Oryctolagus cuniculus: one gene and its partners. The protein of the gene in region 3 interacts with the protein of the main gene of each other region in a biochemical or structural test. Links are inferred from orthologs where the notes say so. Each region holds a gene or a part of one and is shown on either strand. Other genes may lie near its edges.

The links.
Region 1: the proteins of NUP153 (region 3) and KPNB1 form a complex in vitro, tested with the Homo sapiens proteins (4 studies listed by BioGRID and IntAct, with this or other methods). The link is inferred for Oryctolagus cuniculus from reciprocal best matches to the Homo sapiens genes NUP153 and KPNB1.
Region 2: the proteins of NUP153 (region 3) and SENP2 form a complex in vitro, tested with the Homo sapiens proteins (2 studies listed by BioGRID). The link is inferred for Oryctolagus cuniculus from reciprocal best matches to the Homo sapiens genes NUP153 and SENP2.
Region 4: the proteins of NUP153 (region 3) and NXF1 form a complex in vitro, tested with the Homo sapiens proteins (2 studies listed by BioGRID and IntAct). The link is inferred for Oryctolagus cuniculus from reciprocal best matches to the Homo sapiens genes NUP153 and NXF1.

What each region holds. Positions count from the first base shown.
Region 1 is NC_091448.1:23,996,725-24,004,688, reverse strand, and holds part of KPNB1 (importin subunit beta-1), read right to left. Parts: intron 5,906-7,964; coding exon 5,846-5,905; intron 5,271-5,845; coding exon 5,181-5,270; intron 4,839-5,180; coding exon 4,728-4,838; intron 4,038-4,727; coding exon 3,936-4,037; intron 313-3,935; coding exon 88-312; intron 1-87.
Region 2 is NC_091435.1:95,243,423-95,251,884, reverse strand, and holds the start of SENP2 (sentrin-specific protease 2), read right to left. Parts: upstream 4,579-8,462; 5' UTR 4,366-4,578; coding exon of another isoform or gene 4,265-4,365; intron 2,194-4,264; 5' UTR 2,059-2,193; coding exon 1,955-2,058; intron 1,354-1,954; coding exon 1,298-1,353; intron 1-1,297. UniProt on the Homo sapiens protein: Protease that catalyzes two essential functions in the SUMO pathway.
Region 3 is NC_091436.1:144,855,681-144,862,757, reverse strand, and holds the end of NUP153 (nuclear pore complex protein Nup153), read left to right. Parts: intron 1-2,198; coding exon 2,199-2,367; intron 2,368-3,037; coding exon 3,038-3,122; 3' UTR 3,123-4,184; downstream 4,185-7,077. UniProt on the Homo sapiens protein: Component of the nuclear pore complex (NPC), a complex required for the trafficking across the nuclear envelope. Functions as a scaffolding element in the nuclear phase of the NPC essential for normal nucleocytoplasmic transport of proteins and mRNAs.
Region 4 is NC_091432.1:8,794,104-8,802,067, forward strand, and holds the end of NXF1 (nuclear RNA export factor 1), read left to right. Parts: coding exon 1-79; intron 80-170; coding exon 171-251; intron 252-364; coding exon 365-434; intron 435-573; coding exon 574-662; intron 663-782; coding exon 783-890; intron 891-1,054; coding exon 1,055-1,164; intron 1,165-2,975; coding exon 2,976-3,012; intron 3,013-3,254; coding exon 3,255-3,323; intron 3,324-3,398; coding exon 3,399-3,454; intron 3,455-3,585; coding exon 3,586-3,693; intron 3,694-3,799; coding exon 3,800-3,858; intron 3,859-3,951; coding exon 3,952-4,067; intron 4,068-4,194; coding exon 4,195-4,237; intron 4,238-4,854; coding exon 4,855-4,927; intron 4,928-5,424; coding exon 5,425-5,607; intron 5,608-5,992; coding exon 5,993-6,053; intron 6,054-6,169; coding exon 6,170-6,208; 3' UTR 6,209-6,511; downstream 6,512-7,964. Other genes in the region: TMEM223 (transmembrane protein 223), read left to right, coding at 6,638-6,944, 7,221-7,513; TMEM179B (transmembrane protein 179B), read right to left, coding at 7,879-7,964.

The DNA of each region.
Region 1 (7,964 bases), on a different chromosome or scaffold from region 3:
ATTTCCAACTTCCTGGGTCATAGGACTTATGCCATTAAAAAAAAAATCCTACTTTGACTTTCTACCCCCAAATTCCTTTAGTTTCACCTGTATAACTAGTGGTTTGAGCTGATTGGGCTCTGGTCCTTCCAAGATACAGCCGAAAGCCATCACTGCTGCATCCCGGTATCGCCAATCCGGGTTCTTGATGTGCTCCTTAATGAAGGGAAGGACGTGGGGGACGATGTCATCTTCACAGCAGGTGGCCAGGAGCATGAGGCACACCCCTGCTGCTTTGCAGGGGTTCCAATCATCATCATCATCATTTTCATCCTGGTGAAAGAACGTGGTGCTAAGAATGATTTTAATTCAAAAGGTTCTCTGACCACTCCAACGTAAACTCCAAGGAAGTATACAACACCAAGCCTTTATATTTGATCTCTTCCACAGTGATACATTACAAAATAAGGGGTAGCGCTGTGGTGTAGCAGGTTAAGCTGCATGGGCAGTATCCCACATGAGGGCCAGTTCAATTACCAGTTGCACCACTTCGGATCCAGCTCTCTGCTAATGCACCTGGGAAGGCAGTGGAAGACCACTCAACTGCTTGGATTCCTGCCATCCACGTGGGAGACCCAAATGGAGTCTGGGCACCTAGCTTCAGCCTGACACCGCCCCCTGGCTGGTGTGGTCATGTGGGGAGTGAACCAGCAGATGGAAGATTTCTTTCAAATGCCTTTCAAAAATACTAAATTACAAATCTTCATACAAGATGCAGATGAAAGATTCTACCTAGTACTACACAAAACAACAGAATGAACAAACTTTGGCTGCATACAACAAACATCAGTCTCAAATATGTATATGGATGGGCTTTGTGGTACAAATTTAGCTGCCATTTGGGACATGTATATCCCATTAGTCAAGTGCTGATTCAAGTCCCAGCAACTCCATTTCCAATGTAATTTCTGCTAAGACACTTGGGGAGGCAGCAGATGATGGCCCAAGAACTTGGGCTTCCTGGTTTTAGCCTGGTCCAGCTCCAGCTGTTGAGGGCATTTGGGGAATGAACCAGCAAACAGAAGACTCCTCCCTCTGTCCCTCTCCTTTTCAAATAAACAAAACTTTAGAGCAGGGGGTTGGCACTGTGGCGCAGCAAGTGAAGCTGCAGCCTGTAGTGTCAGCATCCCATATGGATGCCAATTCAAGACCCGGCTGCTCCACTTGTGATTCAGCTCTCTGCCATGACCTGGGGAAGCAGAAGATGGCTCAAGTGCTTGGGCCCCTGCACCCTCGTGGGAGAGCAAGAAGCTCCTGGCTGCTGGCTTTGCATAGGCACAGCTCTGACCATTGCAGAGCTGTGATTGAAACAGCAGATGGAAGATCTCTCTGCCTCTGCCTTTGAAATAAAAAAAAAAAAAAAAAAAAAAAAAAAAAAAAAAAAAAGCCAGACCAAATAAGCGGAAGGTACATGATTTTGGTCCAAAAATCTACCAAAATTAATCTATGGAATTAAAGGTCAAGAAAGCAAGGGGGTTCACAAGTGGGAAGAATATATGAAAACAGCCTCTGAGGTGCTATTAACAGTCACAATTCAATAAATGTGGGGCCGGTACTGTGGTGCAGCAGGGTAATGCCCTAGCCTAAAGCACCAGCATCCCATATGGGCGCTGGTTCGAGACCCAGCTGCGCCACTTCCAATCCAGCTCTCTGCTATGGCCTGGGAAGGCAGCAGAAGATGGCCCAAGTCCTTGGGCCCCTGCACCCACATGGGAGACCAGAAGAAGCTCCTGGCTTCGGGTTGACACAGCTCTGGCCATTGCAACCATCTAGGGAATGAACCAGTGGATGGAAGACCTCTCTCTCTCTCTCTGCCTCTCCTCTCTGTGTAACTCTGACTTTCAAATAAATAAATAAATAAAAACAATTCAATAAATGTTCATAAACAAAAATCACACAAAAAAGGACTGTATTAGAATCCAAAGTCACAGGGGACGGCATTGTGGTGCAACGGGTTAAGCCACCACCACCTGTAACTATGGCAACCCTCTGAGTACTGGTTTGAGTCCCAGCTGCCCCATTGTCCATCAGCCCCTGGTTGAGGCATCTGAGAAAGCAGCAAAAGATATCCTAAGTACTTGGGCCCCTGCCAATCCATGGAAGACCCAGATGGAGTTCCAGGCCTCTGGCTTAAGACTGGCCCAACCCCAGTTGTAGCCATCTGGGAAGTGAACCAGTGGATAGAAGACCTTTCTATCCCTATCTGTCCAACAAAAAAATTATGACCTCAGGTCCAAGTTCCTTATTGCAGCCATTCACAATATGTAGTAATTTAAGGCTGGCTGCCTACACAGTTTCAGAAAACCATATACATAACTTAAGATAAAAAACTAGATCTGTAAGGGGCTGGCGTAGCGGGTAAAGCTGCCACTTGTGACGCTGACATCCCATATAGGTGTCTGATCCAGCTCCCTGCTAGAAAAAGCAATGGAAGACGGCCCAAGTGTTTGGGCCCCTGACACCCACACAGGAGACCCAGATTAAGCTTCTGGCTCCAGCCTGGCCCATTGTGGCCACCTGGGGAGTGAACCAGTAGATACAAGATGTTTGTCTCTCCCCTTCTCTAACACTTTCAAATAAATCTTAAAAAAAAAAAAAAAAGCTACTGCAAAAAATTAAAAATGAGGGGCCAGTATTGTGGTGTAGCAGGTGAAACTGCTGCCTGCAGCGCCGGCATCCCATACGGGTGCTGGTTCATGTTCCAGCGGCTCCACTTCCAATCTAGCTCCCTGCTGCTAATGGCTTGGGAAAGGCAGTGGAGGATGGCTCAAGTGCTTGGGCCCCTGCCACCCATGTGGGAGACCAGGCTGGATCACCCAGCTTTAGTCTGTCCCAACACTGGCCACTGGTTCTGTCTCTCCCTCTCTCTGCAACTCTTTAAAAAACAAACGAAAAAACCCACACAATTGACAGATGAGATGAAAACTTACGGGGGAATACCAAGTCCATTTCAAACCAAACATCTCTCTACTTATCTTTTACACTGCTGTTATATAAAGTCATGTAAATCCCCCAAAACAATTACATTCATTTGTACAAACACATTTTGCAGTGTTCCAAGTTATCAGCAAAAATGTCACGTGTGGAAAAGATGAGGAGACAGGAACTTCTGAAACCAGATGCCAGGTGACACAATACCTCCAGTTAAGAGAAAAATGGCACCATGACAGATGTGTTAACAGTAACTGTTCTTTTCCTAACTACACCCAAATCATTGGGAAATCTTACTGCCATTTATTTTGCCTTGTATTTATATTTATATTTATGTTAATCGTCTTATAGGATCAGTAGAGCAATTTCTTTGACCCCCCCCCATATTAATTCTAATACAGAGTTCCATATGAAAAACTCACACACAACCCTTATCAGCATTTAAAAATATATTCTGTGAAACCCTGAAAGCATCCATCCTAGATATTCAAAGTTTTTTTTTGGTGCACAAGTGGTGAAGTTTATTTAGAAGGTGGGAAAGTAAATACACACCCACGTGGGCATAGTTCAGGAGCAGATAGAGCCAGGAAGGGAAAATAATGGGGGAGGGAAGTAGACAAGACAGTGCCTCGGCGCCGTGTCGTCCTCTTGGGGGAGAGAGACAGAGGAACAGATATTCCAGTAGCCTGGAACAAACAGCTCTTCTCTGTCAGTCCGGACAGTTTAGCATTCATGCAATCACAGCAGTGTGTGGCTCATTCCTGATGGAGACCCATCAGGGACATTTAGACCCAGATCTCCACATACTCTGCTCAGGGCCCCAGGGATCTCACAGATCCAGCTCAGCTGTTCTTGAGTTACCTACACAGATGGGCGGTCCAGGCCTGTCATGGAAACTGTTCCCCACCAACCCAACCTGAATCAAGTTTTGTAGCACATCTGGTTCGATTTGGCCAAGAACTCACCTGTTTAGTCAGTGTCTGTGTCAGGATCGGGACGAGATATTGTAGTGCTCCCTTGGCATAAAATTTGCTGGTATGCTCAGGGGGCCGTCCTTGCTCTGCTGCCTAAGGAGAAACAGAAAGCCAACAAGCTAAGATAGCAAGGGCTATAACTATAACGAGAGGTGCCTAGGGGTCTGTAAGAGAAACACACGGTAAGGAGCGATCACAGACCTTCACTGTGATCTCTGGAGGTGCTCAGCATTTGAGTCTCCTCCAATGAGATTCTTGTAGGTCACACATATACATATATCTGCCTTAAAGGACCAAGGCCACTTTAAGAATTACATTACTCTTCCATAAGCTCGATTCCTATTAACAACCTGACATCTAAGTGCTCTCTGGATCAAGAGATAGAAAAATGCTAAAAATAAGTCTGGATTTTTTTTGAAGCAAATAAAGATAAGCAAGGCTGGAAACAAAGTCTGAATTCAAAGTTACCTCTTTCCCCTTATCTGGTTCCCTCACCAGTTACATCCTGGACTTGCATTAGGACCTTGGAAAGAAGTGAGCGTTAGGCATCACCTGGGAAAACCGTGACAGCCTGCTGCCCCCTAGTGTTCATGGTGCTCCTACCAGTACTTTCAGTAAGTCACGCCCTACTGAGGGTCAAAAACTATTCTTGGTCTCCATAAAGAGGGCCTTTCCGCAGCAGAAAAACCCTGCAAGTGGTGCCCCCCCCAAGTCTACCCGGAATAACGCTTCCCCGGGAGAAAGAATGATGTTCACAGGCCGGAGTAACAGCTCCCCGCTCACCTCTGAAGCCTCAATGGCCAAATCCATTTCCTCATCACAGACGTTGGACCAGAATTCTATTCCTTGTAGGGCCACTTCATCAATGTCACTTTTCATTGCTTCAATTGTGATCTTAAGCAAAAAAAAAAAAAAAAAAAAAAAAGAAAACCCAAGCCCCAAGTAAGTACTGATTCAAGTTAGAATCCCCTCTTCAACTACATTCCAGTTTCAACTATAACTTATGAAAGTTAGGTCTGAAATGAAAGGTAAACAGGTTTTTTAAGTACACTGTTTACCAACATGAAGATAGCCCACATTTCCTGGGCACACCGCTGTTGGGCATAAACTTAACTCTCAGATTCCCCCGATTTCCTAACAGTAAGTAGAAGATTACAGAATGAACCAAACGGCAATGAGAATGATGGGCTCTGCAATCAGCTATAAATGCAAATCACATAAAATCAAAATACTTACTGCAAAAAGAGCAGGACCCATGTATGTCTCCATGTACTGGTAATACAGTGACATTATCTTAACCAGATTCTGTAAAGCAGCCACGCGTACCTTTAAAGAGATTAAATGGTTTACTAAAATAATAATGACACAAATGTAGATTCACTCAACTGAGTCAGTGATCTGAAGGTTCATGGAAGCACACATGACAGTGCTGTCTGTCACTGCTCCCCAAAGCTATCTGCCCTCCATTTTTCATGATCCCTCCCTCCAGTTTTCTAGTCCTTCCCTTTGCTTTAAAAGCACCTGTGCAACACACACAGAGCTAAACTCACTGGTGCTTACTCGAACTGAATGTGTCACTTTCACCTGCTTAGGAGTCGCACTTAGATTAGGGCAACAGCTAAACCTGTTTCAATGGCTATATTTGAACAATCACTCGGACAACCTAGGGCAAGAAAGTAAACCTTTAAGAGGACAGCAACCTCCAAATAACTTTTGAGGTAGTATACGACTACTTTTATTCCTTCTTCTCCAATATGTTGGAGAAAAATTGTTAGTAATCTAGTTAGTATTAAGCAAACCTTATTTCTTTAGTCTGACTCCTAGTATCTCAAACTGTATGTGAGAGTTGGCATTTCATAGGGAAGACTTAAAACAGATTTTTTGTAGGATCTCACACTTACCCTCGTATCTGGACACTGTGTGGCTTCACAGACCACCTGCATAATAAAGTGCCTTTCGGACTGCAAGAATAATAAAAATAATCAGGGAAGCAAAAACTATGCACAGGAAAATTCCTAGGCTCTACAGATAAAACTTCTCATCTCCTTGGGTCCACACAGCCTGGCATCATCAGCAACTCCTACTTGAACAGTGGTGGCCTGGAGAAGGCCATGAAGTTCACCTCCAGGGTCTGCTAGAACCTGCCCTTAAGAAGTCCCAAATCTTTGAATCCACAAACTGAGTTTCACTAACTAGAGTTCAGGAAGTAGACAGGAAAACGTAGGTCACAAAAAGATGTTAAGAGGATGCAAAACATCTGCTTTATTTTAGAGACCCCCAAATGTGTTTTTCTGCAAGATGGCTAAGCTCCATCCAATGTCAGGAGAAAAGGGAGAACAGAGTGAAGAACCTCATTTGTTACCTTTCTACATCTGAAATTTAAAAGGAAAGCCCTGTTTTTTAATCAATTAGAAATAAAGGTTGCTCTGTCATCTTATACCTTTCCAACACAAGGCCAAAAACCAGCAAAAACAAGCATACCCCCAAAATTACCTGCAGACCCTGTGAGCCATGAAGTCTACTCATGGATACACCGCCAAAAGAATGAGAGTAGGTCTCAAAAGAAATCTGCCACCATGTTAAAAACCTCATTATTGGAGCTGGCACTGTGGCACAGTAGACTAAGCCTCCACTTCCATATGGATGCTGGTTAATGTCCCAGCTGTCCAATGCAGCTCGCTCTGCCTATGGCCTGGGAAAGCAGTGGAAGATGGCCCCAAGTGCTTGGGCCTCTGTAACTGTGTGGGAGACTCAGAAGAAGCTCCTAACTCCTGGCTTTGGATTGGCCCATCTCCGGCCTTTGCAGCCGTTTGGGGACTGAACCAGTGGATGGAAGATAGCTGTCTCTCTGTTAACTCTTGCCTCTCAAATAAAAAATAAAATAAAAAACATTATTCACAATAGCCAAAATGTGGAAGCAACCCAAATGGATGATTTTAAACAAAATGTGGTATATCTGTATATCTTTGGGCCCCTGCCATCCCACGTGAGACCCAGATGAGTTCCTGAACATGAGTCAGCCTTACAACATGAATGAGCCTCCAGCATCATGGTATGTGGAATAAACCAGCTACAGAAGACAAACACTGTGTGATCCCGCTTTTATGAAGTATGAGAGCAAACACAGAGAAACGCTGGTGGCCAGAGGCTGGGAAAGGAGCTGGTACTCAATGATCCACTTTCAGTTCCACAAGATGACAAAGTTCTGCCGACTGGTTCCACAGCAAGGTGAAGATAATTAGATACTGCAAAATGGTTAGGGGGGCAAATTCTGCTATACAGACTTTACCACATTATAAACAGGGGAAGTATTTTCAGGCAAAACATTTATTTTATTTTATTTTTAAAGATTTATTTATTTATTTAAAAGGAAGAGTTACAGAGAGGCAGAGGCAAAGGCAGAGAGAGAGGTCTTCCATCTGCTGGTTCACTCCCAAAACGGCCACTATGGCTGGAGCTATACCAATCTGAAGCCAGGAGCCAGGAGTTTCCTTTAGGTCTCCCATGTGGTGCAGGGGCCAAAGGACTTAGGCCATCTTCTTCTGCTTTCCCAGGCCAAGCAGAGAGCTGGATTGGGAAGTGGAGCAGCTGGGACTCGAACCAGTGCCTGTTTGGGATGCCGGCACTGCAGGTGGTGGCTTTACCCAATCCACCACAGCGCCGGCCCAAGGCAAAACATTTATATCCCTTACTGCAGCACCAGTTTGAGTCCTGGCTACTCCACCTCTAATCCAGCTCCCTGCTGATGTGCCTGAAAGACAGCACATAGCAGCCAAAATACTCAGGGCCCTGCTACCCAAATGGGAGCCCCAGATGGAACGTGGGCTCCTGTCTTCAGCCTGGCCCAGTCCCAGCTGCTACGGCCATTTGGGGAGTGAACTAGCAGATCAAAGATCATCTGTTTCTCCCTTTCTCTGTCACTATGCCTTTCAAACACATAATTCTTTTAAAATAGCGTATACTATTTTAAAATAGCGTTCTCAAAAGCATCCTCCGGAAGGATATATGAAACAGTGCAAT
Region 2 (8,462 bases), on a different chromosome or scaffold from region 3:
GTTTGTAGGAGTTTTTACAATGTTTCTTCTTCAAAAATAAATAGTATCTTTTCTGTACAGAAGGATTTAGAATTTCTAAATGACACATTGGTTAAACTTTCTGAAATGATATTCATGTCCCTGGTAATAGCGGTTACCTCTAGAAAAGATAATTAAAAGGGCCAGCCTGGGGTAGTCACTGTGGCATGTGTCCCACATGGACACTGGTTCTAGTCTCACCTGCTCCTCTTCCAATCCATCTCCTTGCTGATGGCCTTGGAAAGCAGTAGATGATGGCCAAGGTGCTTGGGCTCTGACACCCATGTGGAAGACCCAGAAGAAGCTCTGGACTCCTGACCTTAGATAGGCTCAGCTCCAGCCATTGTGGCCATTTGGGGAATGAACCAGGGAATGGAAGACCTTTCTCTCTCTCTTTCCTTCTCTCTGTAACTCTGCCTTGCAAATAAATAAATAAATCTTAAAAGGGGGGGGGGGGGGCCGGGGCGCAAGACTATGGCATAGAGGGTAAAGCTGCCACCTGCAGTGCCAGCATCCCATATGGGCACCAGTTCAAGTCCCAGCTGCTCTACTTCCAATCCAGCTCTCTTCTATGGCCTGGGAAAACAGAATAGGTCCAAGTCCTTGGGCCCTTGCCCCTGTGTGGGTGAATTGAAAGAAGTTCGTGCCGGCGCCACGGCTCAATAGGCTAATCCTCCGCCTTGCGGCACTGGCACACCGGGTTCTAGTCCCGGTCAGGGCGCTGGATTCTGTCCCGGTTGCTCCTCTTGCAGTCCAGCTCTCTGCTGTGGCCAGGGAGTGCAGTGGAGGATGGCCCAAGTGCTTGGGCCCTGCACCCGCATGGGAGACCAGGAGAAGCACCTGGCTCCCGGCTTCAGATAAGCGCAGTGCGCCGGCCGCAGCGCGCCAGCCGCAGCGGCCATTGGAGGGTGAACCAACAGTAAAGGAAGACCTTTCTCTCTGTCTCTGTCTCTCACTGTCCACTCTGCCTGTCAAAAATAAAAAAAAAATTTAAAAAAAAAGAAAGTTGTGACTCCTGGTTTTGAATTGGCCCATCTCTGGCTGTTGCTACCATTTGGGGAATGAACCAGTAGATGGAAGACCTCTCTCCATCTTTGCCTCTGCCTCTCTATACCTCTGCCTTTCAAATAAATAAATAAAAATCTTAACAACAAAAAGATAATTAAATAGGAAAGGAAAAGGAAAGAGACTTTTCACTGCTTATACATAATTTTCACATTTTGAATTTTATTCCAAGCATTTTTCCTTTCAAAAATTAATTTTTTTAAATTTTCAGTACCTAATCTTGGTCTTTTGGCTGGTATTTCATCAGTGTCCACTGTAGAAAACAGAGTGCTGAAAAGAGAAAAGAAAAATAGCATATACTGGTATATATGAATAAACGCATAAACGCACACATATCCATTTCTGTAGATAAATCTAGTATTCATATAACATACCTCTCTTCTACCCACTTTGTCATAAAATAAGATCCAATTAACATTTTAAAAGAGAATGTTGGGGCCGGCACTGTGGCATGGCGGGTTAAAGCCCCAGCCTGCAGCGCCAGCATCCCATATGGGCGCTGGTTCAAGTCCTGGCTGCTCCTCTTCTAATCCAGCTCTCTGCTATGGCCTGGGAAAGCAGTGGAAGATGACCCAAGTCCTTGGGCCCCTGCACCCATGTGGGAGACCCAGAAGAGGCTCCTGGCTCCTGGCTTTGGATCGGGTCAGCTCTGGTCATTGTGGTCATTTGAGGAGTGAACCAGTGGAATGGGAGACCTCTCTCTCTGGCTCTACCTCTCTCTGTAACGCTTTCAAATAAAATACTTCTTTAAAAAATGTGGAGAATGTGGTAGAGCCAGTGTTGTGGCACTGTGGGTTAAGCCAGCATCCCATATGTGCACTAGTTTCAGTCCCCGCTATTCTACTTTTGATTCAGGTCCCTGATAACGCACCTGGGAAAGAAGTGGAAGATGACCCAACTGCTTGGGCCCCGCGACCCACATGGGAGACCCAGATGGAGTTCCAGGCTCCTGGCTTCAGCAGGGTTTGAGGCCATTTGGGGAGTAAACCAGTGGATGGAAGATAGCTATCGCTATCGCTCTCTTTCTTTCTCTCTCTCTCTCTCTCTCCATCTTCCTCTCCATTTCCTTCTCCCTCTGGGTAACTCTGCTTTTCAGATACAAAAACAAACCTTTAAAATAAAAAGAGAATGCTATTCTATAGTTCTTCAGCATTTGAAGAATTATGGTTTCAACTATCTGAGAAAGAACCCAATTCTCTACCATGTAATAATCTGTAGGCTAAAGTACAAACTTGAAAGTGGGCAGAAGTCACTTAGCTAGTAGATGAACCTGGAAGGCCTAGGCCTATTATTCTCTTTTCCTGTACAGAAATAATTTAAAAACAAGTAAATAAGTTCCCTTTGAAAGACAACCCCAAAGAAAGTTCTGTTTTACTTCAAGTGACACATATGCAGTCTTAAGACTGTTCTTAGCTAGCAAAAGATAATACATTTAACTACATTTAACTACATTTCTATCATGGGAAACTACATCACAATAAAGACTTTGGAATCAGGAAGGTTTCTAAACCAACAAGTCAAGAATATTAGTATCTTGGTATACTAGTAATCATCTTTCTGAATCCTTATGATTAATCATATTTTTATAAACTAATAGATGGGGTTGGTACTATGACATACTGGGCTAAGCCTCCGTCTGCAGTGCCAAGTATCCCACATAGCCTGCTCCTCTTCCGATCCAGCTCTCTGCTATGACCCAGGAAAGCAGTGGAAGATGGCCCAAGTGCTTGAGCCCCTGCACTCGCATCGGAGACCCAGAAGGAGCTCCTGGCTCCTGGCTTTGGATCAGCATAGCTCCAGCCATTGCGACCATTTGGGAAGTGAACCAGAGGATGGAAGACCTCTCTCTGTCTTTCCCTCTCTCTGTAGCTCTGCCTCTCCAAAAATAAATAAATCTTTAAAAAATTTAACAGAATGAGATCCAAGGAAAATAACATTCTGCCATTAAACATCTCAAGACCTGACTGAAAATTGGCTTATGTTGAGAAGAGCAGTTTTAGATAAAGGATGTGAATCCCTAAAGAGCAGTAAAGAACTCCCAGTCATCAGCAGAAATTCACATCAAAAAGAAAGAACAAGCGTGAGTAAATTAACATTAAGTATGCACCAAATGTTTATCCTGCACCTGATTCTGAACAAAGCCCTTAGGGTAGAATAAACTACTTCTATACATATTAAGCATCAATTTAGGCACTTTACAACATGTTCTCAAATTATCCTCACATTAACCCTACAGAAAGCTCAAAAAGAGGAGTAAATTGAAACCACGTCTCTCTGGAGTATATGCGATCAAACTTATTGATGACTACATTCTCAGACTCATGTATTAACCATCTTGTTCTCTCAAGCTCCCAGAAACCAATCTTTTCCCTACTTTTCCTTGACCTTGACCAGCTTAATAAAAAAAAAAAAAAAAAAAAAAAAACTCAAATTTACACTTGAGAGCTGAAAAGGTGGGCGGTGTACAGAATTTGTGTGGTACTTTATTTTCTAGATTCTTATGGAAGGTGGGACCCTATGAGACAAGCCAAGGAGATACTAAGTCGGAAGAGTTTTTAGTTTCTCCCAAATTTTAGGAATGGACCAGTGAACTTTAACAAGGAGCTGGCACCTAATTTTTTTTTTCTAATATACTAATTCTAAAGCACAGAAGCAACCCCCCCCCTCACCCCAGGGGGCCCCGCACACACACTGTTTGACAGCTGTTTCAGAACAAGACAGCTGCTGTTTGTGGTGCTAAAAGAACAGTACTCGCAGTCAAAAGGGCTTTGGGTAAGCTATGAATCTCACTTCCCTTAACTGACAGCTGGGAGTGTGCTTCGTAGACAGAGCCGCAGCACAGACAGCACTCCTTCAATTTTTATTTTTCAGCCTAAGAGCAGCAAAACGTGCCAAATCCCATGTGTTGCCAGCCACCAGCTTGGACTCTGACAAGAATATTAAAGAGCCCACCATCACCCTCCAACTCCAAAAACAAACAGCCCCTTCGTTCATCACGAGCTGCGCCTCCACACACCAGCCTGATGGGCGCGACTACGTCATCAGGATACCCGCGCCCCGCACTTCTCCGACCCACTTAAGCAGAGCAGGGCCCGCCCGGCTGGGTCAGCGCAGTGCCCGCCGAGGAGCCTGATGTGGGGGAGGGGCACGGCCAAGCCAGCGCTCAGCCCACTCTGCTCACCTGTTCGAGCGCCGCCTCTTCAGAAGGGCCCGGGAGGGGGGCGCTGACCGGTCGCAGAAACGGAAAATGGTGCCGAGAATCCTAACCAGCCATCTGTACATACCAGGCCTGAGCAGCAGCGGCGGCCGACACACCCCGAGACGCAAACCCCAGAGCTGTCGCCGCCGCTGCCGCCTTCCCCGACTCGGCCACCACCGCCAAGACCTAGTCGCTGACTTGTGACGTGACAACAAGGCCCACAGATAAAACGTCCACACAGCTAGGGGAGGCGCCCGCCCGCCACAGCGCCTGACGTCACCTCCTCCCGCCCGACCGGAAAGCTTCCTCCTCGATATGCGCAAGCGCAACCTAGTACCGCCCCCTACCAGCGATCCTGGCAACCAGAAACGGCAGAACGATCTCCGGGCCAATCACTGACGAGGGAGCGGGGGCGGGGGCGGGGCTTCCTCTGTACGGAACCAGTCCCGATTCGGCCCGTGAGACAAGGCCCACAAGCCACACGTGAGAGCCATACCCCGGAGCCATCCGAGGTCCTAGAGCGCTGTTAGTGCTCAATAAGTTTTTGAGTATACAGGATAAAGGTAGGTCAGGCTAATTAACAAAAGACTACCGGCTCAGTCGCCCTTTATCTGACATATTCCCCCTACTTTTGAATGTGTTATACCTCCTTCAGGTTTCTCAGCGACCCTAGGCAATAGGGCGTCTTTTCGCCCGTTTTTCAAATAAAGGAAATGGAAATCACAAAACTGACTAGCGGTATAGCTGAAGTTTGAACCAAGGTATAAATACCAGCGTCAGTCCCTCGGCCTTGAGATCCCTCCCTCTACCGGGAGAAACTAGATTACAATACGGAATGACTGGTTGCTGTGATAAAGGATAGTGCAAAGTGCAGGGGACCCAGAAAAAGGAAAACTATGCGCTGAGGCAGGGTAAAGAGCAGACTCCTAAAGAAGGCTTCGCAGAGGTGAGGATGAAGACACCTGTGGCCTGCAATACACTTGTTTGCTCCCCTGGCCTGGCACAGTGAGTCTCATTACTTCCTTCTAAAATCTAGAGGTCGCAACTCTGGTTAATTATCAACTGTAGAACAAGTCTCATCCTGATTAGTGATAAAAAAGAAAAAAAAAAATCCGGTTACCTCCCTGAAACAATCCTGGGAGCTCTCATGCTACACAAATCCCAGAACCCCACTTGTTTTTTTACCTGCAATTCAGTTCAGGCTGGAGTCCCAGACTTTCCTGAACTTGCAAGAAACTCACTAAGGGATTCTCCAAACAAAAGAGCAGTTTCCCTTCCAAATTAATCAGAAAACTGCTCGTTTCTTTGGAATAGCAACCTATTCTGATCTGGTCACCAAGACTTGAGAAATAATTGAGATCAAGTCTCCTAGACCACAGTGCAAACCAAACTGTTTGCTTTTTTTTTCCTGCCTCATTCATTGTACAGGCACAAATTCAATACTAAAAGTTCGTAAGAGCCATGAAACGTGAGAAAGCTTCAATATTACAGACTTCAGCCATTATCACAAGTCCTTAGCAAACGATATCTCCAGAAATGAGTGGGGCAACGCACACCAACGTGCTGCCCGCCCTCACATTCCCCAACCTCCCTATCTCCTGCCACGGCCTGCAAGTCCTCTTAGTTACCCTCTGCAATGAAGAAATGGAGACTCATCCTTATAGTTGCTCCCACCTGGGACTTTTCTGCCAGTTGGTGCCTTCACTGTCCGGTGGTCCACAGTAGGGGCATGGGCCTCTGCCCATCCACTGGCCAAGGAGAGGGATTACCCTTAATCGCAACTTCACCCCCACGGCAGCCATTCCCGGATCCAGGAGCTCTTCGCCGAAGGGCCAGGAGATAATCCCAAGGCCTCGTGGAGTTACGAGGATGTAGAGATTTGCGCCTTCGGCTGGGAAAACTTGCAACCTAGTACTGCAGGAAGGGCACAACTTCATTGCTTAAGCTTGTACGGGCTATTCCAGATACATGCCGCAGTTTCCCAAAAAGATTCCCGCACTCCCCCAGCCAGGAGCTGCTGCTTCAAGCTTTTCCAGGGCCCCACCCCCCTCTTCCTCCACAAAACAATGAAGACCCAGCCCACCAACCCATTCTTTGGTCTTGCAAATTTTCCCTTTCGCAGCATTCCCAGAATGTTTAAAAAGAAAAAAAAGGATTTAAAAAAACTCAAGTTTGTTTTTGCCGATCCCTGCCAGAACAGAGTTCTGAGCCATTTCACGCAGGACTAGGGATCCATAGAGGAGGTTTTGTTGGTTTAGGCCTAATGTGCCTAAAATCCAGCATAATTAACCACACTGAAGGTTAATTTCCTTCTAGGAACCAACTTTCATCTTGCTGAATCTGTCTAGTAATAACACTGGCCTTGTCATGTCAAAAGCCAGGTGCACTCCTTTCTTGTCCTGGATTTCATTACAAAACTCATACACATTGACTATAAATGGCTTGGGCTGCCTTTTGTGGAAAAATAGCATCAAGCCCCGCCTCGGCTTTTTTCCCAACCTATAAAGTGGGATTAGTAAAACCTGCATCTCAGATCTGTGGGCTGAGTAATTAATTGTGTTTATGTGAAGGGCCTAGGCAGTGTCCAGCACAGCTAAAGTAAGTGCTTCATGGCTCACTTTTTTCCTTCCTTCTCCTACAGTCCTTTAACTTGTCTGGTCTGTGCTTTCCAGTTTTTATAGGCAGGCTGCTTTCTCTACAGATCTATCAGAACTACTGTCCTTTAGGGCATGATCATTCCTCTCACCACTGCAACAGCCACCCCCCTTTCCCTCTTCCATGCTAGTTCCAGCCTGATCCCTCTTGTCCTTTGTTGTAATTGAAGAAGATAAATTGATAGTGCAATTCTTATTTACTAATAAAGATAAATCTGCAACTTAAGCTTCATTTTCTATTAGAGAAAAAAATGGTCAGATTTTCAACAAATTCAGGTATGTTTGGGATGAACTGACTTAAAATATAGGCCATGTGGCAACCCTAAAATTAACTCTGGTTGGCCGTAGGGAGAACCTAAAAAAAAAGAGAGAGAGAGAGACATGCATGTCCCTGAACAGCTAAAACTGAGAAGCAGCCAGAAGAGAGGGAGAGAAGAGTGGGAGAGAAATACCCCATTGAGTCAGACAGGGTGAACCTCTCGAGTGGTTCTGGAGGGTTCCAAATGGAGCCCAAGTCATAAGTCACAAGGATCAACCTCGTGCATTACAGGATTTTTCCATAAGTTGCTTCCTCCAGGGAATAATTGTCTAATTAAGGTTCTGGATTCTCATGAACAAGGCTTGGGAAACCAGCTCAGCAAAAAGAAAAAGATGCCAGTGTCACAGGTGGTAGCTGTATTCACTATACCACGGTGCTCCAACCATATTTATTTATTTATTTTTTAACAGGCAGAGTGGACAGTGAGAGACAGAGAGAAAGGTCTTCCTTTGCCATTGGTTCACCATCCAATGGCCGCCATGGCATGCTGAACCGAAGCCAGGAGCCAGGTGCTTCTCCTGGTCTCCCATGGGGTGCAGGGCCCAAGGACTTGGGCCATCTTCCACTGCACTCCCGGGCCACAGCAGAGAGCTGGCCTGGAAGAGGAGCAACTGGGACAGACTCCGGCACCCCGACCGGGACTAGAACCCGGTGTGCTTGCGCCGCAAGGCGGAGGATTAGCCTATTGAGCCACGGCGCTGGCCAACCATATTTATTTTTAAAGATTTATTTATTTATTTGAGGGGCCGGCGCCGTGGCACACTAGGTTAATCCTCCGTCTGCGGCACTGGCATCCCATATGAGCACCAGGTTCTAGTCCTGGTTGCTCCTCTTCCAGTCCAGCTCTCTGCTGTGGCCCGGGAAGGCAGTGGAAGATGGCCCAAGTGCTTGGGCCCCTGCACCCACGTGGGAGACCAGGAAGAGGCACCTGGCTCCTGGCTTCAGATTGGCGTAGCTCCGGATGTTGTGGCCATTTGGGGGTTGAACTATGGAATGGAAGACCTTTCTCTCTCTCTCTCTCTTACTGTCTGTAACTCTACCTGTCAAATAAATAAATTTTAAAAAATTAAAAAAGATGTATTTATTTATTTGACAGGCAGAGTTAAACAGAGGGAGAAGAAGAGGCAGAGAGAGAGAGACCGATCTTCCATTCGCTGGTTCAGTCCCCAAATGGCTTCAACAGCCAGAGCTGTGCCAGTCAGAACCC
Region 3 (7,077 bases):
GTCATCGGGCCCCTGCACCCATGCGGGAGACCCAGAAGAAGTTTCTGGCTTCTGATCGGCGCAGCTCCAGCCGTTGTGGCCAATTGGGGAGTGAACCAATGGATGGAAGACCTTCTCTCTCTACCTCTCCTCTCTCTGTGTAACTCTTTCAAATAAATAAATAAAATCTTTTAAAAAAAAAAAAAAGGTAATGACAGAGAGAGGGGGAGAGAGTGAGTACACATCCAGGTTAGGCCAGGCTGAAGCCAGAAGCCCCAAACTCCATTTGGGTCTTGTATGTGGGTAACAGGGACTCAAGTACTTGGGCCATCATCTCCTGCTTTCCCAGGTGCATTGGCAGGAATTTGGATCAGAGACAGAGTAGCCAGGACTCAAACTGGCATGCAGCTATGGGAAGTTGTGTCCTAAGTAGCAACTTAACCAACTATGCTACTGTGCCCACTTGTTTTTTCTTTTTCCTTAAAGTTGTGATTCCTTGCTTAGTTTGCTGCGAATTATTTTTCTCCCTCATTGTTTTGGTTTCAGTGTTTTTTTATTAAGTATTGTCCTCAAATATGTGGTGCTCCTCAGGACAATAGGACCTGAATAACAAAAGCCTTTGTGTGTTGATAAGGCTTAGCAATTTTGAACTTCACCTTTACACTATCTTTTATTTGGGAAAAGCTGGATGTTAGTATCTTTAGGTATTTCCCCTTAGACTGTCAGAGGACCCAGAGAAGAGGCTTCCAGGCTCCTGTGTGGAGGGTATCCGAGAACTCCTGGTTACTGGTGTTTCTGGAAGCTGAGTTGGGAGGATGACTGGCATTCTTGGTATTCATTGTATCAGCCTACTCTTAAAACCTCATTTTTGGGGCCGGCGCTGTGGTGTAGCGGTGCCACCATCCCATATGGGTGCCGGTTCGAGTCCCAGCTGCTCCGCTTCCAATCCAGCTCTCTGCTGTGGCCTAGGAAAGCAGTAGAAGCTGGCCCAAGCCCTTGGGCCCCTGCACCCACGTGGGAGACCCGGAAGAATCTCCTGGTTCATGGCTTCAAATCGGCACAGCTCCTGCTGTTGCGGCTAACTGGGGAGTGAACCAGAAGATGGAAGACCCCCTCCCATCCCCCCCCCCTTCCCTCTGCCTCTGCCTCTCCTCCTCTCTCTGTGTAACTTTCAAATAAATAAGTAAATCTTTAAAAAAAAATTTTTTTTTTCAGTATAATGTTCTTGCCCTTACCTGTACATGGTGTCCCCCCAGCCCAAAGACATTTCCAAAGATTAAACCTTTTTGACTGAGGTATAGAAGAGGATTTGGGAGGGATTGATCTGGGTATCTGCTTCTTAAACAGCTATTCGACTGCCTTTTCTTATTTATTTATTTATTTATTTATTTATTTTGACAGAGTGGACAGTGAGAGAGAGAGAGACAGAGAGAAAGGTCCTCCTTTGCCGTTGGTTCACCCTCCAATGGCCGCCGCGGCCGGCACGCTGCGGCTGGCGCACTGCGCTGATCCGATGGCAGGAGCCAGGAGCCAGGTGCTTTTCCTGATCTCCCATGGGGTGCAGGGCCCAAGCACCTGGGCCATCCTCCACTGCACTCCCTGGCCACAGCAGAGGGCTGGCCTGGAAGAGGGGCAACCGGGACAGAATCCGGCGCCCCGACTGGGACTAGAACCCGGTGTGCTGGCGCCGCTAGGCGGAGGATTAGCCTAGTGAGCCGCGGCGCCGGCTTTTATTTTTTTTTATTTTGAAGTCCCATCTTCATTTTCCCTTCAGAGGTACCTGGAACATAAATTTCTGGGGTGTGTGTAGTGGACACGAAACTGCTCTGTGCTTTCTCTGCTGCTGGTTTAGTACTCAGCTTCAGTCAGCTTCTAAACTAATGTTGCTGTTGTCTCCTCTCCCCTCATCCTTGTTTAAAAAAAAGAAATTCCTTTTAATCCACTTTTCAAAGAAGATAGAGCTAAATGTGTTTGTTGGTCCTGCTCCCTCTAACTAGAAGTCCACTCTGCCCTTTTTCCTTGGTCAGGGGTAAGTTGTACCATCACTTGGAGGTGTCAAGTATGTACTTGGGTAAGCAGAGAAAATACTTCATTTTTCTTTAGAAAGTAATGGTAAGAAATCTTAACACTTTTACATGTTTTTGTATGTTGAGGTCAGAGTTGTTACTGAAAAAGCTGTCATTTTTGCCTTAATGAAGTGCTTTTTGCTTTTATTATAGATTCGGTTTTCCAATTTGGCAGCAGCACGGCAAATTTCAACTTCACAAGCAATAATCCAGCAGGAGTTTTCACATTTGGTGCAAATTTTAGCACACCTGCAGCCTCCACCCAGCCGTCAGGCTCCGGGAGCTTTCCCTTTAACCCGTCTCAAGCTACATTTACAGTGGGGTAAGAGAACGTTTTGGTGAAATGGGAAATTTACATTGATTATTTTAGGTATGTGATGTTTTTTTTTTTTTTTTTTTTTTTTTAAATTTTTGACAGGCAGAGTGGACAGTGAGAGAGAGAGACAGAGAGAGAAAGGTCTTCCTTTGCCGTTGGTTCACCCTCCAATGGCCGCCGCTGCAGCCGGCGCACCGCGCTGATCCGATGGCAGGAGCCAGGAGCCAGGTGCTTTTTCCTGGTCTCCCATGGGGTGCAGGGCCCAAGCACCTGGGCCATCCTCCACTGCACTTCCTGGCCATAGCAGAGAGCTGGCCTGGAAGAGGGGCAACCGGGACAGAATCCGGCGCCCCGACTGGGACTAGAACCCGGTGTGCCGGCGCCGCAAGGTGGAGGATTAGCCTATTGAGCCACGGCGCCGGCCTGATGTATGTTTTGCTGTTAAAAGTCATCAAGGTGCAGTGAAATGTGTTCTCCCACATCAGTTTATCACACTGTAATTTGAGGGGTCATAAAGCCTGAGAAGTTAACAATAATGGGTTTGCTTAGGTATAATAGTAGAAAATGTGTTTCTTTAACAACATAAGTCTTATTTTTCCCCCTTATTGGTGATCATGTTAAATGATTCTGGAATTTTGCTTTGGTCATTGTGTCACGTGAGGTTTTTTTTTCAAAGGTCAAATGGGAAAAGCATGTTCTCGTCTTCTGGAACTTCAGTTTCTGGTCGCAAGATAAAGACTGCTGTTAGACGAAAGAAATAAAGGTCACGATGGTATTACGTGCAACAGTTTGGCAACAGCTGGTGTCCTGCTTTCAGATACTGGATTATACTGTGTGCTGGGGTTATCTGAACTAAGATTTGCCTAAGGACTTCTTAAATTTTGGAATTTTCCTCCTTTTCTTTATGGAAGCCCTACCCCTGCCTCTGCCACTTCCTTATAAAAAAATAATACCTAGACTGGTGACTGATTCTTCAGCAAAAATATTTTATGATCCAGCAAATTATTCACTGATTTGGCGTAGTCTGGCTGTACCCAGGAATAGAGCCTGCACGGTGAATGGCTTTGTATAGAACCTCTTCGTGTGCACCGCCATGTGCATTAATAAGCGTTTATGGAACACATTGAAATTGTAACTATATCTGAGGAATTCTGTATAGATTAGGATTCTGTGTAGATTAGAGGATGTTGAAATGAATGATTTCTATGCCGAGTTTGTGCTGATGTGTGTGAAGTGAGTGCGTCGGGTGTATCGTGCACTAAAATTTTCTGATAGAGGAAGCCTGATTAAAAAGAGTGGTCCATGCTGAGGACTTGTTAGATCTCACTCATCCTACATTTAATAATTATATGCTACTTCTCTATTTTCATTCCTCTAACTATCGCCTGTCTTGCCTTTTTCATTATTTTATTATGAAACTTGTGTAAATACAATTTTGTTTCTGTACTGTTTTGGCATAACATAAAGTCTGTGAACTTGAAATTTTAATTTTGTGTTAGAATTTTTTTCGTTGTTGTTTAGTCTTGTCTCAGATTTTATTATGTAAATCCCATTATTCAAAGTTGCCTAAATCCATTTGGAAATCTTTAAAAAAAAATTGGGGATTCTTAAAGTTGAATTTATTGGCTTTTCTGATCCAGTTTTATTTGGACCAAAAACCAGTATTGTACAAAGTATTAAGCATATATTTTTATATTTACTGAAATGGACTGTGGTGACTTTGGATAATAAGGAAAAGTTTAATATTAAAGCCATGTTTATTACAGTATAATTAACATGTTAAACCATGGGATAAATGCCATCAATAAAAAAATTACGAAGCACTTTTTGTTTTAGTTTTAACTCAAAATGAAGGTTCACAGTATTAATGGTCAGGGACTTTTCTCTGCAGATTAACAGTGGTCAGATACTCCAAAGAACACATTTTAAGTGTTCTAGACAACATCTAGGAGGAGGAGAAAATATTTGAGTTTGCAGCATATAGGAGGCACACTGCTTATTTCCTGGTGCTAGGAATCATACCTAATTTTCCACGTAGATTTACATACCTTTTTTTAAAAAGTTGGAAATAAATACCACAACCATTTGTCTGTACTTGCGTTTTCCTTGATAGGGACAAGACTGATTATTGATTGAATTCTTTTGGATACCTAAAACAGTTCACAGATACCGTGGTGTTCTTTTTGTATAATTTCTTTTGGATTACTGTTATTTTTTTTTTTACATCCATCCCCCCCCCCCCCCCCCACTGTGGCTCACCATAGAGCTCTTGGAACAGTATTTGATAGTTTTATTTCCCTTGAATGTATAATTATTATTTGGTGCATGCTTTTAATTGCTGGACTTTGGTTGGCTGGAGTTGAAATTTGGAAATGAATTTCTGAAGCCTTGGGGGCCACCATTGTGTGGCGCAGCAGGTGAAGCTGCTGCTTGTCACCAGCATCCCATAGGAGTGCCAGTTCAAGTCCCAGCTACTCCACTTCCATTCCAGCTCCCTGCTAATGAATCTGGAAAAGTAGCGGAGGATGGCCCGGGGGCTTGGGCCCCCCTGTACCCATTTGGGAGACTGATGGAGTTCCAGGCTCCCGACTTCAGCCTGGCTGTTGTGGCCATTTGGGGAATGAACCAGCAGATGAAAGATCTTTTTTTTTCTGTTTCTCTCCACCTCTCTCTAACTCTGCCTTTCAAATAAATAAATCTTAAGAGTAACTAGCCTTGCATTTAAGACTGCCCATATTGGAGTACCTTGGTTCAGTACCCACTTAAACCTCCTGACCCCAGCTTCCTGATTCCAAGGGCCCTGAGAGGCAGTGTGGAATGCCTCCAGAAATTGTGTCCATTGCGGACACCCATGTAGGAAGCCTAGGTCAAGGCAGTGAATGTTTGTCTTTCTCTGCCTCTTAAATATAACACTTGGGCTGTTTTTTTGTTTCCAATGAAAAGATGTTTTTCTGATCTAAAATATCTTAGGCCATCCTCTGGTGCTAGTTTGGGTTTGGAAATTCTGTATTTTGACTTGGTTAATGCTACATATTTGGGGCTGGTGTTGTGGTGCAGTGTGTTAAACCGTCACTTGGATGCCTGCGTCCTATAAAGGAACGCCCGGGATCATCACCACGTCTCAGCTCCTTCACTTCCTGTTAAAGCACCTGGCGGGCAGTAGGTGACGGCCCAGGTGCTTGGGCTCCTGCCACCCCCATGGGAGGCAGGTAGAATTGCTGGCTCCTGTCTTCGCACTAAGAGAGATCTTCCATCCACTGGTTTGCTCCCCTAAATGCCTTCAACAGTCAGAGCTAGGCTAGGCAGGAGCTAGGAACTCCAAGTTCTCCCATGTCAGTGGCAGGAACATCATCTGTTGCCTTCCAGGTATTTTAGCAGGAAGCTGGATAGGAGGCTTGGAGTAGCCATGACTCACTGATACAGGAGGCGAGTGTGCTATATGTTTGATACTTAGCTGTTTGGAAGGGGAGGACGAATAGTGGTGAGTGCTGGAAAAGGTGTAACTGGGAATCTGTCTTTGCTCAGAAGTTACTGCCTGGGTCTGGCGTTGTGTAGTATGTTAAGCCTTAGCTTGCAATGCCAGCATCCCTTATGGGCACCAGTGTGAGACCCTGCTGCTTCAATTCTGATCCAACTCCATGCTAATGCACCATGAAAAGCAGTGGAAAATGGTCCAGATGTTTGGGCTCCTGTACCCATATGGGAGACTGATGGAGTTTTAGCCTCCTGACTAGCCTGGCCCAGCCATTGTAGCCATTTGAGGAGTGAATCCACAGATGGAGATTCTCTCTCTCCTCCCCACCACCATCACTCTCTCCTCCGCCCCCTCCCTTCCTTTTTCTCTCTCTCCCTTCCTCCTACACATACACACACCCTCTCTGTAACTGCCTTTCTAATAACAAATAAGTTAATGCCCAATTACCTTGCAGTTCAGTTCTTAGCCATTCTGTAGGCCCAAGAGGTTGGAACATTGGGCTTTCTACTTTTCTCTAGAAATGTGTTACTTTCTCTAGAAATGTATACTTTTTCCTTTTTTAAACAAATTCTTGAAAGCTGTACTTAAGCTGGCTTTTGATAAAGATGAAGTCTTGGGGGTGTGTTTAGCTTAATTAATGATTAAGATGTCTGTGTCCCACATTGAGTACCTGGGTTGATTTCTGCCTCTGACTCCAGCTTCCTGCAAACCCTGGAAAACAACAGTAATGGCTAAAGTAACTGGGTTCCTGTCACCCACATGGGAGACCTGAATCTGCCTTTGCCTTTGCAAAAAAAAAAAAAAAAAGGGCTTCCCAAGTTTTTAGGACCCTATTCAGATTTTGATACTTTTTTTTCTTTCTTTCTTTTTCTTTTTTTCTGACAGGCAGAGTTAGACAGAAAGGTCTTCCTTCCGTTGGTTCACCCCCCAAACAGCTGCTATGGCCAGCGCACTGCGCTGATCCGAAGCCAGGAGCCAGGTGCTTCCTCCTGGTCTCCCATGGGGTGCAGGGCCCAAGTACTTGGGCCATCCTCCACTGCACTCCCTGGCCACAGCAGAGAGCTGGCCTGGAAGAGGGGTAACCAGGACAGAATCCGGCGCCCCAACCGGGACTAGAACCCGTGTGCTGGCTCCGCAAGGCGGAGGATTAGCCTAGTGAGCCGCGGAGCAGGCCTAGACCCATTTCTGATCTACTCCCTGTGATTATAACTGCCCCTTGAGTTACATGTTTCATGCCTAAG
Region 4 (7,964 bases), on a different chromosome or scaffold from region 3:
GTTTTTTGTCGAGGATGCCAGTACTGCCTCTGCGTTGAAGGCGATCAACTATAAAATTCTGGATAGGGAGAACAAGAGGGTATGTTAAAGAGCTTGGTTGGACTGGAGGTGGGGATTGGTCCTTGGGCTGTTTTCCCTGGCGTTTACTCTGCCCTTTGTCCTCCCTCCAGATATCCATCTTCATCAACTCCTCTACCCCACCCCTCACTGTGCAGAGTGAACTGAAGCCAGAACAAGTAGAGCAGCTGAAGGTAGGGCTGGCTCAGGTTACGTGTGCTTGCAGCCCAGTCTTCCCACTTCGCATGCCCCAGCCCCATACCCACCGTCCCTGTGATGGCCGAACTCTTCCCTGGTTCCTCTGTAGGTGATCATGAGCAAACGCTATGACGGCTCTCAGCAAGCACTGGATCTCAAGGGCCTGCGTTCAGACCCAGGTACGGCTGGCAGCAGTAACTCAGACAGGTCACGTAAGGGGGCTCTGTCAGGGAGGGAATGTTGAAGAATGATTAGTGCTGCCGCTGGCCTGGGCAAGTCCTCTCAGATTTTTCTTGCTTTCTTTTCTGCTTCCTGAAGATTTGTTGGCCCAGAATATCGATGTTGTACTGAATCGTAGAAGCTGTATGGCAGCTGCCTTGCGAATCATTGAAGAGAATATTCCAGAGGTGAGGCCTTTGGACCAGTATCAGGCGTGGGAAGCAGCGAGGGATCGATGGCATGGGGTCAGCGACAGACTTGCCTCTGATCTACTCACTAGCAGCACTAAACTCTTTTCTCCCTTATAGCTCTTGTCCTTGAATTTGAGTGACAATAGGCTGTTCAGACTGGATGACATGTCCACCTTGGTACAGAAGGCACCCAACCTAAAGATCCTAAACCTCTCCGGGAATGAAGTAAGAATTGACGGGCTGGCTGTGCTTTTGATGGGGTGGCCAGAGGACATAGTGGGCTTGCCCGGTGATGGCGACAGGCAAGAGATGAGAGTCGGGATGGGAGGTGTGAAGTCCAACTGATGTCTCACCAGGTTCTCTCCTCCCTCTTTTCCCATCTTTTGCAGTTGAAGTCTGAGCGAGAATTAGACAAGATAAAAGGGCTGAAGCTAGAAGAGCTGTGGCTTGATGGAAATCCCTTGTGTGACACCTTCCGAGACCAGTCCACCTACATCAGGTCAGTTGTGGCCTCTGTCTTCCCTCCTGGGGACCTTCACCCCCTGGGAGGCTGAGCTAATGCACCCTGACCAGTGCCCGTCTGCAGGAGATGTGCAGCCCTGAGCTGGAACCACCTGTCCTTTGGGAGGATCACGTGCTCCTCTCTCGTCTGTCCATGTCTCCCAGCCTTGCCCTGAGATCCCCTGTCCTTTGCTTTTCACCTGACCGCCTGTTTGCTGGTTCTTTGGCCTTTCTCCTTCCTCCCTGAACGCAGCCTTTTCTGGAACTTGCCCACCCTATTGTTCCAGGAAGGACATTTCCCCTTTGTGCTCTGACTAGGAGATGTCTCTTATGTGCCCCATAAATGGGGTTGCCTTGGGCCTAGAGCCTGGTGTCCTTGGGCTGAGAAAGCCCTCCCCACTTGGAACTTCCTGCTAAGACAACTTTCTCTTCCTTTGTCCTGTGATGGCCCCTCTTGCCTTTGTGCCAAGAGGGACCCTTTCTCATAATCCAGTTGCCTAAGGCTGTTGCCTGGGCTTTCCGGCACATGCTGAGGTTGAGGCCTCATGGGGGCTGGTGCCCTGCAATCTCTCTGCCTGGTGCTGTGAGCTGGGCCCTCCCTGGAGAAGAAACCTGGGTTCCCCAAGACATGTGACCAGAGCTGTGGTCTCGCCAGCAGGCGTGGGAATCCCAAGGAAGGTGCTGGGCGTGGAGGCCACGGGGGCATAGGCTACCAAGGAGACAGAGAACTGACCCTGTCAGGGGCACTGCCCCGCTCTCACTCGCACACCTCACGTCACCCTGCTTGGCCCCGGAGGATGGCTGGTTAGCCAGAGACGGGTAAGATTCCTCTGGGAAGGAACAACCTAAGACAGGCACAGTCGCAGAGGGGCCATCAGGAGAGAACTTGGGGGCCAACAGAGGTGGGGCACAGACCCTCACCCCCCCAACTTTGCAGGGGTATGAACCCTCACCCCTTCTGAGGGCTGTCTCCTGCCCCCGTGGCTGCTTTGCTTCCCACGCCTACCCAGCTCAGATCGGGACCCAGGTGGCAGATAGAGACCTGGCCAATAGCAACTGCCCGCTCACCACAGCAAAGATTTCTTCCCCATTTCTGCCTTGGACCACAGGGAAAGGGCAGCTAAAGGAAAAGGCTGTATCCAGGTGTCTTCCTCTCCTATCCTCTTTGATGGAAATGCCTCCTTGCTTTGTCGCTCTTTTGTTTTTCTTGGCTTTCTCTTGCCTTTTCCTCCCTACTTCCCATTGCCTCCTCTGTCTCTCACTTGTCCCATCCCATTCTCCCTTTTTGCTTCCTCTTCTTTTCCTGTCTTTTTCTGTTACCTCCCCTCCCCATGAGCCCCGCCTTGCTCATCTCCCTGCCCCAACATCCTGTGCCATCCTGTGGTGTGCTCTGGTCTTGGCCAAGGCCAGACCTGGCAGAACTGATGGATACCTGGTGAGGCAGCGGAGCCCCTGGGCTCCCACCCCATTCCCTTCTCCCTGGGCTGCACAGGTGAGTAGGTGGAAGGTAAGGGGGGCAGGGAGGGGAAGGATGGCCTGGGCTTAAAGCCTGGGCTGAGAGTGCTACTCTTGTGGCACTTGGGGTTAGGCAGAGAGAAATGTGACAGCCTTCAAGGCAGTCCATGTCTGGGAGCCCTGGGTCAGGTGGGGAGTGTGGGCCATTTTTTCTCTGAGCACAGGCTGGGGAGGAGTGGGGGGATGAGCAGGATGGTATGGGCTACCCTTGGGCCCTGGTGTATTTGCTCCTATAGCAGCCCAGGAGGCACGGTGGCCCTGAAGCATCACTCACTTCTGTCCCATTCTTGACAGCGCCATTCGTGAACGATTCCCCAAGTTGTTACGCCTGGTAAGTTGACAGCTGTTTTCATTTTCTTCTAAAGAGTATAATATCTCCCACTCCCTCTGACAAAAGCTATAATCCTGCTTCCCAGGAAATGCTGCTAGGCAAAAGTTGCATATGTCAGGGTTCATGGACACTTTTCATACTTCTTTCACACTTCTTGCCTGTCATTTGTAGCTCTTCCATCTAGGTAAGCGTGTAGCCATTTTTCCTCTGGTGTATACTCACCTTTCACTTTATCTGCATAGGATGGCCATGAGTTACCCCCACCAATTGCCTTTGATGTTGAAGCCCCAACACTGTTGCCACCCTGCAAGGTGAGAACGGGGACATAGCTAGAATGTGGGGGTGGGGGTACTGGTTCCATGGTCCTAATATCTGTTTGATTCCAGGGAAGCTATTTTGGAACAGAAAACCTGAAGAGTCTGGTCCTGCACTTCTTGCAGCAGTAAGTATCCCAGGGCCCCAAGGCTGCAGAGGGGTTTGGCTGTCCAAAGCCCGGTTCATTCTTGGGAGCTGCTAAGTCCCTCTGTGGCTGCAGAGCTTAGAGTTTCCCTTTTTCTTTTTTTCCTCCCACAGGTATTATGCAATTTATGACTCTGGAGACCGACAGGGGCTCCTGGATGCCTATCATGATGGGGCCTGCTGTTCCCTGAGCATTCCTTTCATCCCCCAGAACCCCGGCCGGTGAGTTCACGTCCCAGAACCTGCCCAAGCCTTCAGGGTTTCCCAGCAGGAAGGGACCAGCTCTGCTAGCAACCAGTGTTCGGACCAATGCCTCTTTTTCCACTAGAAGCAGCTTGGCAGAGTACTTCAAGGATAGCAGAAATGTGAAGAAGCTTAAAGACCCTAGTAAGTGTATGATGTGAGCAAAACAGGATGGGAGGGAATCGGAGCACTTAGGATGGTTTGGCAGCCCCAACTCCCTTCCTCCTCCACCTCCAGCACTGCGGTTCCGATTGCTGAAGCACACACGTCTCAACGTGGTTGCCTTCCTCAATGAGTTGCCCAAAACTCAGCATGACGTCAATTCCTTTGTAGTAGACATAAGCGCCCAGACCGTAAGTGCCTATTTCTTTCCTGATAGACGCCTTAAATTGGGGGTGAGGGTGGAGGGAAGCATTTAAGAGGCAAAGGGGCTCAGGTCCTACCAAGAAGCCTCCAGTGTCCCTAATGCTTCTTTTTCAGAATACATTGCTGTGTTTTTCTGTCAACGGTGTCTTTAAGGAAGGTGAGAATTTGGGGGGGTCCTGAGGTTATAGCATGGTCCCTCCTCCATCCAGAATCTTCTTCAGCACTCTTAGTTTCTCAGCTACCTTCTGTCCCCTTTTCTTTCCTGATCTCCTCCCATTCTGCCACCAAGCCATTGTGCTTGGGCCTGCCTTCTCCACCTATCTTGTCTGCAGTATAGGAAAAGCCTGGGATAGATTAGGAGGACACAGACTTTGGAGTCAGAAAGGTCTGGTTTTCCATCTCAATCTTGATTCTGTGCATCTGTGTGCAAGTTATTATCTCTGAGCTTCATCAGCATCTTCCTTTGTATTCTGAGATGGAGTTGGTAACAGCCAGGTCTTAATGGTGCCATAGGAAGTAAATGAAGTGACTTTTAAAGTACTTTACCCCTGGCACAATACACAAGTGCTCTGTCAGTGGGTTAGTAGTTGTTAGTATTATTATCCTTTCTGACCTCTGACCCTTTGCCCCCCCTACACTCCCCTGCACATGACATAGTTATCCCAGTGTGGCCCACGCGGGGTTCTTTATAACATAGAAGACAGAGAGCTGAGAAGCTATTTCTAAACATAAAGCACAAGTGCCTCTAAAAGGTGGTTGCCGCTCTCTTTGCAGTGGATGGAAAGTCCCGGGATTCTTTGCGAGCCTTTACTCGGACATTCATTGCCGTTCCTGCCAGCAATTCAGGGTAAGTTCCCGGTTTACCAGGTTGGGTACCAATCCCAGTTCATGGCCAGCAGCATGGTAATTGGAGGGTAGAATCAGTCCTCAGGATGTTTTCAGAATCTGAAAGGCAGTGGCAGATCACAGGAAGTGGCTCCCATCCTGGTTAAGGGCTTGGCTCTGGAGTCGGACTGTCTGGGTTTTCATCTTGAGTTTACTACTGGCCATGGACCAGTTTCTTCATCTGAAAATATTATAATAATATTCACTTCCTAAGTTTACTGTGAAGACAGATAAAATACACAGGGGCTCACAGCTGTCTGTGGTCAGATGAGAAACTATGAGTTCAATGTGTTTGGCAGAACATCCTTCCAAACACAAAGCCCAGAGGACAAACTATGCAAATGGTAAAAGGCAGCAGCTAACAGTGGGAAGGGGACTTCGTAGGGTCGCTGAGAAAAGGAGTGATGTTTGGAGATGAGGTTCTTTGACCTGCTGTTGAAGGTGTTTCTTGTCCCCCAGGCTGTGTATTGTAAATGACGAGCTATTTGTGCGGAACGCGAGCGCTGAAGAGATCCAGAGAGCCTTCGCCATGCCGGCCCCCACACCTTCCTCCAGCCCCGTGCCCACCCTCTCCCCGGAGCAGCAGGAAATGTTGCAGGCGTTCTCTACTCAGTCTGGCATGAACCTTGAGTGGTCTCAGAAGTGAGTGCTGAGCAAGTGTAGGAATAGGGGTAAACTGAGGTAGGGCTGGTAATGATTGAGGATTGCTCTATTGGTTTATAAAAATCTGCCCTCAGGCCAGCATTGTGACACAGCTTGTGGTGCCTGCATCCCATATCGGAATCCCAGTTTGAGTCCCAGCTGCCCTGCTTGCAAACTGACCTCCAAATGTGCCTGGGAAACCAGTAGATAGATGATTGGCCCAAGTGTTTGGGCCCCTGCCATCCATATGGGATCGCGATGGAGGTCCTGGCTGTATAGAAAATCTATAGTTACAATCCATACTAGGGATTCTGAAGTGGTAGGTAGTGGTCAGGGTGACTGCATTTTGGTCCTCATGGAGCCACCTGTTCTTCCTCCACTCCAGGTGCCTTCAGGACAACAACTGGGACTACACCAGATCTGCCCAGGCCTTCACTCATCTCAAGGTAAGGTTTGGGAATACAGTGGCAAATAAGAGGACGCTCTGGCCTTTCAACGTGGTCAAGTAAGCTGGGCACGGGTGGCATGGCCTTGGCTCTGCTGACCTTTCATTTTTCTCCAGGCCAAAGGTGAGATCCCAGAAGTGGCATTCATGAAGTGATCCGGTGTCATGTCCCAGAAGCCCCCTGTAAATAGCCTCTGGATACTGTCCGGTTGTCATCCGTCTTTGTCTCCTCCTGTCCGGCCGGAGGCCACCCTGTGACTGTGACCGAGGAGGGAGGGCTGCTGAATCCCTCTCCTCACCCGCCTTCTGGAAGACTTCCGGAAGATTGAGCCTCACTGGTGCCAGGAAGCCAAAGCGTACTTTATAGAACTGACACTAAACTACCCGAAGGACTTAGGTGCTTTGTGTACTTAACCCCAGGATCCTCCGTACTTTTTAAGATAAAGAGTGACAGTTGTATTTTGTGTCCTGCGTGCGGGATTGTTTGGCTTCTGCCTAGAGGGGGCTCCCACGGCTGTGAATTTCCAGGGCTGGAGGCGGGCTTACGGCAGGAAGTCCCGCCCCGGAAGTGGGCCGGCACAGACCATGGCGGCGCCCTGCTCGCGGTGTGTCTTTGGGCTTCTCCGTGCGCAGCCGCCTGTGTTCCTGCATCGGTCCCTGTACAGTGCGACCCCACCGCGGGACGTGCTCCTCTTCCAGCATGAACGGGGCCGCTTCTTCACTATCCTCGGGCTGTTCTGTGCGGGCCAGGGCGTCTTCTGGGCTTCCCTGAGCGTGGCCGTCTTTTCCCGACCCCCAGTCCCAGCGCAGCCTCGGGATGCAGCTCCTAGCCGCTGGGACCTGCGTTCCGCCCTCTGGCGGTATGGGCTCGCCGTCGGCTGTGGCGCCATCGGTAAGTCTGGCTTCCCACCACGTTGCACGACCCTCTCTGCTCAGCAGGGAACTCAGCCTTCCCGGATGGGCTGGAGAGGCAGAGGTCTCCCCTAGAGCACCCTCTGCACCCATCTCCCTTCTAAAACGGGGATGGACGTCTACTCAGGTGTTGACAGAATAACTAAGCCGAGGTCCGTGAACGTCATCACAATGCTTTTATTCAGGAGGCACCGGAAGGACTGGTGCTCGGCCTTCCAGTGAAAACCGCTCACCCCAGTCTTTGCTGTTCCCACAGGAACCCTGGTGCTTGCTGCCGGTCTTCTTTTCTCTCTCCGGTCTGTGCGTTCAGTGATGCTTCGGGCTGGAGGGCAGCAGGTGACACTCACCACTCATGCCCCCTTTGGCTGGGGGGCCCACATCACTGTCCCCTTGAACCAGGTCTCCTGCATGGCCCACCGGGGTGAAGTCCCTGCTGTGTTACCTCTGAAGGTCAAAGGCAGGCGCTTCTACTTCCTCCTGGACAAGGCTGGACACTTCCCCAACACTCAGCTCTTTGACAACACTGTGGGTGCCTACCGGAGCTTGTAAAGAAACTTTAGGTCACTCACCCCTCCCAGAGGGGAATAAAAAGAAATCTTTGAGATGGAGTGACACCAGGTGTGTGCAAATGTGCCCAAGATTCACTGACAGCAAACAAAGGGGAGGAGTCATCCAAAGACAACTCCCTGGTCCCTGTTTCAAGCCTCCCTCCCAGCTACTTGCTTAACATCAAGAATTTTATACCAGATGAAGAAAGTCATATAATATTTTGGTACAAAAACAGCTGTAAGAACGTGGTTGGGGAGGGGCAGTCTGTAGGCTCCCGATATAAATAGGACCACGCAAGGGGCAAGAGGATTGCAGGCACTTGGGCACGGCGTCTTTGGCTGTAGGAGGTGTTCTTCAGTTACTCTTCAGGAATGGAAAGGGCGTGGCCCAACCAGAGCATCTGTCTCAGTGCTCCACTCAGGGTCACCCCTTTCCAGAGGCCGGTATGGGG